Linked DNA regions of Alligator mississippiensis. The protein of the gene in region 1 purifies or fractionates together with the protein of each later gene. This does not show direct contact. Links are inferred from orthologs where the notes say so. Each region holds a gene or a part of one and is shown on either strand. Other genes may lie near its edges.

Evidence for each region.
Region 2: the proteins of PSMA4 (region 1) and ADRM1 fractionate together in Homo sapiens (co-fractionation; 3 studies listed by BioGRID, with this or other methods). This does not show direct contact. The link is inferred for Alligator mississippiensis from reciprocal best matches to the Homo sapiens genes PSMA4 and ADRM1.

Annotation. Positions count from the first base shown.
Region 1 is NC_081834.1:30,788,559-30,792,301, reverse strand, and holds the start of PSMA4 (proteasome subunit alpha type-4), read left to right. Parts: upstream 1-972; 5' UTR 973-1,122; intron 1,123-1,508; 5' UTR 1,509-1,531; coding exon 1,532-1,534; intron 1,535-2,857; coding exon 2,858-2,900; intron 2,901-3,743. Other genes in the region: HYKK (hydroxylysine kinase), read left to right, coding at 1-169. UniProt on the Homo sapiens protein: Component of the 20S core proteasome complex involved in the proteolytic degradation of most intracellular proteins. This complex plays numerous essential roles within the cell by associating with different regulatory particles.
Region 2 is NC_081832.1:5,778,399-5,782,141, forward strand, and holds the start of ADRM1 (proteasomal ubiquitin receptor ADRM1), read right to left. Parts: upstream 2,309-3,743; 5' UTR 2,244-2,308; coding exon 2,034-2,243; intron 1,851-2,033; coding exon 1,734-1,850; intron 1,649-1,733; coding exon 1,525-1,648; intron 1,185-1,524; coding exon 1,098-1,184; intron 1-1,097. UniProt on the Homo sapiens protein: Component of the 26S proteasome, a multiprotein complex involved in the ATP-dependent degradation of ubiquitinated proteins.

The DNA.
Region 1 (3,743 bases):
AGTAGCGGCTCACACTTTGCAGTTATATCCTGAAAATCAGGAATACTTGATGATCACAGCCCGAGTGGGATGGAAGCACTTAGTCCAACTGTTTGAGGTGGGCCAAGAAGTGGTTGAGAAGATCTGGTTTGAAACTGCAGATGCCTATGCCAGTGCTGCCCAGGCCTAGCTTGCATATTTCCACTGAGGAGATACACAGGGATGTAAGGAAACCTGCAACTTGCAGTGCTGGGACTGGGCTGCAGTTATTAAACGTAGGTTATGACAGAAGCTATACATCCGGGTTTTCCTGAACATGTCTTTTTTTTTGGACCCCTATGCTGCATCCAGGTGGGTTTTTAAATTAAGAGCAAATGTCAGGGTTTTCTGCTCTCCTGGGGTGGCTGTTTGGGGTTGGGAGCAGTGGGCAGTGCCAGTGGCTGCTGGGGATCACATACTCCCAGTGCGGGCTCCAGCAACCAGAGAGAGTGAGAAAGAGGTGTGTGAGAGAGCCGGTGTGCATGCAACACAGGAGCTGCTTGGGCAGCAGGGCTGGGGGGGCAGGGGTCTGCGGGTCAAGAGTGAGGGGTACCAGCAGGGCTGGGAGGGGGATGGGTCACTGTGGGTTGGATGTGCAGGGCACTGGCAGTGCCAGGGGCTGTGGGTCAGGAGAGGGGTACCAGCAAGGGGTGGGGGCAGGGGGCTGCGGTTTGGGAGTGAGGGGCAGGGGCAGGGCACTGGCATGTCACTGCCCCCCCCCAACCCCGTGTCCTCTATTTTGGACCCGGAGCCCCTAGGGGGTTTCCTAATGTGTAATAGCCCCAGGGGGTCCTATGCTCACAGTATGTCTGTAGCCGTCCACCCTGCGCTCTCGAGCCGAGCAGGCCGGGGCGCACAGACGCTCCCAGGCGTTGACCGCGTCGGGGCGGGAAGCTGGGCCGAGGCAGCCGCGGCCGGGGGGGTGCTGTGAGCGCGATTCTACCTGCGGCCCGCGGCCGGGCGGGGCTCAACGTCACATCCAGGTCCCGCCTCTTCGGTTCCGGCCGGGCAGAGCCAGCGCGCATGCGCGGCGGCCATCTTTGGCTGAAGCCGGTGTGGAGTGCTGTCGGCTGACCGGTCCCCCGCAGCCCCTGGAGCCCCGCGGTGAGTGCTGGCGGCGCCCGCGGGGTGGGGGCGGGGCGGGGTGGGGTCCGGGCCCCCGAGGGGGGCGGGTGTCCAGGCTCGGCGGGGGCTGCGGGGCTGCCCCGGGCTTAGCGCGGGGGGTGGGGGATGACTGTGCACTGCCGCCTCGAGGAGCCGGGCTCGACTCGGCGCGGCCCAGGGCCGGCGGGAGCCCCCGGGGCCCGTGCTGCTGCCCTGCTGGGGGCGGGGGCGGGAGGGGGTGGGTGCCTCGCTTTTACGGCGGGATGTCACCCGGTTTGGGGACCCGTGCTGTAGTGCAAGCGTCCTGGTTAAATAAATGCCTCCAGCGTCCTCGGCGTGCCCTGGGTATCTTGTTGTCACCTGACAACTTTCATTTTCATTTGCAGCCTAACGTAAACTTCCCAGCAACATGGTGAGTTAATACCTGACGGCTCAGCTCTTTAGTCCCTTGTTCACTTAATTGGTTAAACTCTTCAACAGCTAAATCAGATAACAGATAATCAGTGGGAAATGGAGGCTCCGCTCTTGCCAGTAGTAACGTTTAAGTTTATCTGGAAAAACGTGCACAGAAATATTGCAGGGTTGGGCTCAAACTTCACAAGAAAGACCAGGAGTAAGGGAAAAGTGTATTGAGGTAAATATGCATTCAATTAGGGGCGAGTAAAATACAGCCTGTGGCTGCCCAGCACTTTCATTTAGCCCACAGCGCCCACCCACAAGTTGTGCACTGCCTAGCCCTTCCGCCTATGAGGATGTGAGTGAGGTGCCCATGTGTATACCTGCCCCCCCCCAAAAAAAACAACATATCCTATTGTGCCTTGCTCCCACCCTCATGGACATTAGGGCTGGGCCCATGGGGCTTCCCTCCCATGCCGTATGAGTGCAGGGGCTGCATGTGCGCGGCAGGGAGTGCCGGGGATAGAGACTGCCCAGTGGAGGCTGCGCCCTGACGGCATGAGTGCCCCCGCCTGCTGCTGCCACACCCTAAAGGAAGCGTGGGGGGGGGTCCCATATCTCCCCACCTTCCCTCGCACTTCACAAATGCCACACACCCACACCCTGCCCCCACAACTGTCCACATATACACAACCCCCCAACGTACCCTATTGCCCCCCACACAGTCACAACCCCCCTACCGCACACGCACATCCCCAACCACCCCCCCACAATATACAAGACTACAAATATGTGCGGTCACCTCTATATACAGTATGCAAACAAATCATAACCAAAATATTTTTTGTAATGAAATTAAAATATGTTATAGTAGGTGTTGGACTTTTAGTGTATGCTTTGGTTTTTTTTCTGGTTCTAAGGTGGCAACCCCCTCCCAAAAGGAGTATGGGGGGTGGGGGAGCAATGGGAGGGACTTCCAGTGACAAGGGTTAGGGGGTGGGACTTCTGGTCCCAAGGTGGCGATCAGGGGGCAGGGCAACTGTCAGGGGCCAGGGCTATCCATGTGGTCCTCAACAGCTCACCAAAGCTCATTAAGCGGCCCTCTGCCTGAAATAGTTGTCCACCCCTGCATTAAATACTTGCTCCTTGACCACCAATGAAAGGTTCTAATGGCAACAAAATTGCCTGCTGTGCTGCTTGCTGTCTCTTGTAAATAAGAGAGTGGGGTCACTGGATGGCTTCTACATGTGATTGAAAAGATGACTAGTATAAAATTTCTTCTTGTGGCAATAGAACAGAAAAAGTAAGTTGTTTTTGCTTTGTTTTTTTCTTTAAACAGTCTCGAAGATATGATTCCAGAACTACTATATTTTCTCCAGAAGGTATTTTTTGTGAATGGGAATGAATCACTGGACCCTTCAGCTTTTTCTGAAAATTAAATAGCAGCTAAACTTGTGAAAAGCTGTCATGTTGGATGTTTACACTTTGTCTGATATGTCAAATATTACTTAAATCTGGTTTTCACATTAGGAATAACACCCAAAACTGTGTGGTCAAAGTGGAGCACTACTTTCAATTTTTTGATTTAAGAACAGAGGCATTAAAGATCCTTTGCTTTATTATGGGGGGGGGGGGGGCTATGGTGAATTTTAGCGTGGCTGTAGCCCCCCTCCCAGCGCTGCCCACCCCGAGCACAGCCCCGGCCCAGTACCCCCATCAGGAACAGGTTGGTGCAGGCCCCAGCCCCAAGCCTGCAGCGGACAGCCTGTCCTCGCCCCATGCTCAAATCTGGGGGACACGTGTCCCTTTGTGGCATTCCCCCAGGGGTGTGCACAAAGGTGGGGAGCCCCCTTTGCCCCCTGGATGAGCTGCCTGCAGCACAATCTCCCACCCCACCCTGCCCTAGCTGGCCAATGCCTGCCCTGGTCCCATTCTCTCCCTCACTGTGGGGGCCTCAAGCTGCCACACTCCTTCCCTCCCCCATGCCTCTTCCCTCCAGTAGACTTACCGGCCAGATGCTGCTCTCTAAGCTACTGGACTACATATCAGCAATTGGATCAGTATTGGCCAATATGGTATCGGCCAAAAAAGTTTTTATTGGTGCACCCCTACTACATAGTGTAGTAATTGCTGCTTTTTAGGGCTTGTTTATTAGAGTGGGAGAGGCCTAATGTAAAATAAACTAGGCATTGAAGCCTGGTAGTAGTTATGGACTGAGTAAAGGC
Region 2 (3,743 bases), on another chromosome or scaffold:
GAGGTCAGAGGAAGTAGAGCCACTTATTCCTCTACTGTGCAGAATGCACCCAGCAGTAATAGACCATGCCCTATACCTCCCCTGGTCCCTGATCACACTGATCCCACAGCAACAAAGTAAAACTAACAAGGCCAGCACCACTTTTCACTACACTGGGACCACCTCAGCTGGGCAGTTCAGGTAAGGGTGGCAGTGAAGAAGTACCCCGAGGGAGATGTGCAAACCAGATACGAGAGCACAAAATCCCACACTTCAGGCTGGCAGTCCTTATGCTAGCAGGGGCTGAGAGCCATGCCAAAACCAGATGCTCACCACCTGCAGAAGCCCCTTGCCTCTCCCCGCAGGAAGTTAATTAGCACATCAGGCCCTGACACTGAGGGACACGAGCACCGTGCTTCAACCCAAGCTATTCTACACTAAAAACAAAGGCCAGGGAAAGAAGAGACCAATGTCAAATAAGGAACCAATGTAAGAAATAAGGAATCTCAGAGATCTCCTCTGGGCCCTCAGAGAAGATGCCAAAGTCACCTCTAACCTCGCATAACTCAAGGGACTCAACTGCTCACCAGGGTTTAAACTCCATCCTTGACAGAAGAGGATTCAAACCTACATCGCTGGCCTGCCAGGAGAGAGGGCCCTATTCAGGCCCTAAACTATTCTGGGCCAAACACGCTCTCAATCCCTCCCGTTCAAATGCTTCCATCTTGCATTAATAATTCAGTGTTCAGTCAGAGAAAAAGTGTGCCACAGCCAGGGGATCGGGGCATACGCCTGGGAGGGGGAAGCTGGGCTCTGCTGAACGCTTACAGGACACAATTAGTGAAACAGTCAGTGGGGCAAGGACCAGAAACAAAGCTCCCTTGTGCATCGATCCCCAGGGAAGCACGTGCCGAGCACAGCTCGCGGCTGCTTCGTTTCTCGTCTCCTCGTCCTGTTTCTGAGGCAGCGACAGCATCGGGACCTTGCCGCCTCGCACAAGGGAAGTGCTATTCAAAGTCACGCGAAAATATTCAGCGTCAGGTAAGACGTAACCCAGCAGGAGAAAGCACCACATCGGCGTAAAGATACGAAAGCGTAAAGATACGAAAGCTTTTTACCAAGTCCTCCTAAGCCCGTTGGTCCGATCAGCTGCATGAGCTGGTTATGGCTCATGTTTCCCAGAAGGCTTTGCAAGCCACCCTCACCTAAAAACAAAAACAGCCTGAAACAATGTATTCACACAGTTTTCACAGCCCCCCCCCACTCGCTCCAACAGCTGGAGGTTAACCGGCATCATTTCGCATGGGGAAAAAACAGCGTTTTGCAAGCGTTTGCTAATTCAAGACGCTCGTAAGAGACGAACGCCGCTTGGTTTCGGAGGCGGGACTCCGGACGTCGTCCCGCAAGCGAGCGGGGCGGCAGCACGTCCAGCGGCGCTCGCGTCTCCCCCCCCTCCAAACTCGCCAGGGGTTTGCTCTTAGAAAGCTGCGAGTTTGTACTTAAAAATAAACCTTCCCAACCCGAGGGGCGGAGAACGGGCCTTACCCCCCAGCGCCGAGAGCTCGTGGCCCCCGCTCGCGTTGCCGCCCAGCGCCCCGGGCATGGGGGGGTTGTTCAGGTACTCGTTCACTTTGCGGCAGTGCTCTTCGTCTTTGTCCGTCTTCGGCTCCTGGAAGAAAGGGAAGGGGTCGTCGAGACAGGCCCGGCCCCCCCCCCTCCCCCGCCCCGATCGTGGCCGGCGCCGCCGCGCAAACCTGCATCCAGAAGAAGAGCCGCTTGGAGCCCGCCTTGAACTTGAGCACGTAGACGCGGCCGGTCGTGCACTGCGGGACCCGCTTGAACTCGCAGTCGTCAGGGAAAATAATCAAGTCCTGCAAAAGCATTTGGGGGGGGAGGGGGGGGTAACTAAATGTTGGTGTGCCCACAAACAATTGTCCCGGGGGGGTAAGACCCGCCCCTATTTGTGCCCCCCGTGGCAGCCCCGCCCCGTTTGAGGCTTATTCGGGCCTGTTTTGTCACTTTATTGATTTATTTCCCCCCCCCCGGGCGCCCACGTCTTCGACGCTGCCGGAGGTGCGGTCCTTCCAGCAGAAGTGGATGAGGGAGTCGTCGGTCTGCTGGATGTAGACGAGGCCTTTCCGCTTGTCCGGGGTGACGGTGCTGCCCTTCAACGACATCTTCCCCGCGCGGAACTCCACCAGGTACTTGCTGGACGAGCCGCGGGAGCCCGGCACCAGGCTGGGGAACAGCGCGCCCGACGACATGTTGCGGGGAGCCGCCCGGCACCTTCACCTCAGAGCTGGCGGCTGCGCTGCTCTTCCGGCTCCCGCACCGGAAGCCCGCCCTCGCCGCCGCCCTGTTGGACGCGCCCCGCGCGGCTCGGCCCCCCATTGGTTCGCGGCGCTGCCACTCGAGGCGAGGCCGGCCCGGCATGCCCCGCGCCGCGGCGTTTGGGGCCATTGTGCTGTGTCATACGGGCCGAACCACGCGCGGGGGGAGTGGGGTAGCGGCCTCTAGCTAATGGAATTGCCCATTGTCCCCATGGAGGAAGGGAGCAGCCCATTCTCCCCATGGAGGAAGGGGCAGCGGCCTCTAGCTAATGGAACGGCCCATTCTCCCCGTGGAGAGGGGGAGCGGCCTCTAGCGGCGCCAGGTGGAACTGCTACCCCAGGACCTGGCCCTGCAGGGCTGCAGCATGGCCTGGGGCCCAGCACAGACCAGTTTCCAAATCCCTACTGGTGCTACAGCCACATCTCCAGTGGAAACCCAGGCTCTGGGGGTGGAAAACACCCAGGGGAGAAGAGCATCTGTAAGCAACACCCATAGCACGGAGGGAAAACAGGCCCTCCCACCCAGGATCAGGCCCTTCACGCCCTAGGAGCATGCGGTGGGACCTGGAACATGCCCTGTCCTCACTTATCAAGTGCTGGAAAGCAAACAGGGGTCTGCAACTGGAGTGGCACGAGCAGATACCACCTTCATCACAACCCCATTGGTGGTAGGAAGGGCATAGACGACCACTTGCTTGGCTTTTGTGCGGCCATAAAAGAAAAGTAGGGCAGCACAAAGGCAACATCCATTTCCACCCTCAGATTCGCTCCTCTCCGCCTTGGTGAAGTGCTGCCACTGGGATGCCCTGCTTGGAGTTTGACCCTCGCCCTCAAATCCGAGCGCTCAATACCCTCTGCTGTAACGTCCACACTTACGTTTTGCACTTACAGCGTTCATAAACGGACACCTTGCTTCAACTTTCTGACGTCAGTTTCGACTTCACAACTCTTGATGCGATGCGACACGGCGCCAGGGAACAACTTCGCTGCATCGCCCGTCTCCCTGGAGAACATCTGTCCAAACCTCCTTGGATGTTTTCTTTAACAAAGCAGACGAGACTCCAGAAAACCTGCAGCCAAGAGCCCTTCAAAAAGTCCAGCAAAGTCACCAAAGTCCTTCCAAATCGATATGATTGCTATTTACAATATAAATACATTAATGTAGCTATATGACTCATCTATAATTGATCCGAGTACAAAATTCTGGGGTATTTTTGGTGAAAATTGGTTCCTGAACCAAGGCCCAATATCCTCTCTCCCATTTATAACATTGTTTCTTATGAGAAAGTTGGTTCTGAATTATATTTTGACTTAAGAGGCAGAGGATTGCCTGTGTGGTTTTAGACCACTAGCATGGGCAATGCGGGCAGCAGCAAGGGGCACCCCCAGCACAAGGCTCCTTAAAGTGCCTGTGCACACTTAAAGTGCATGTGT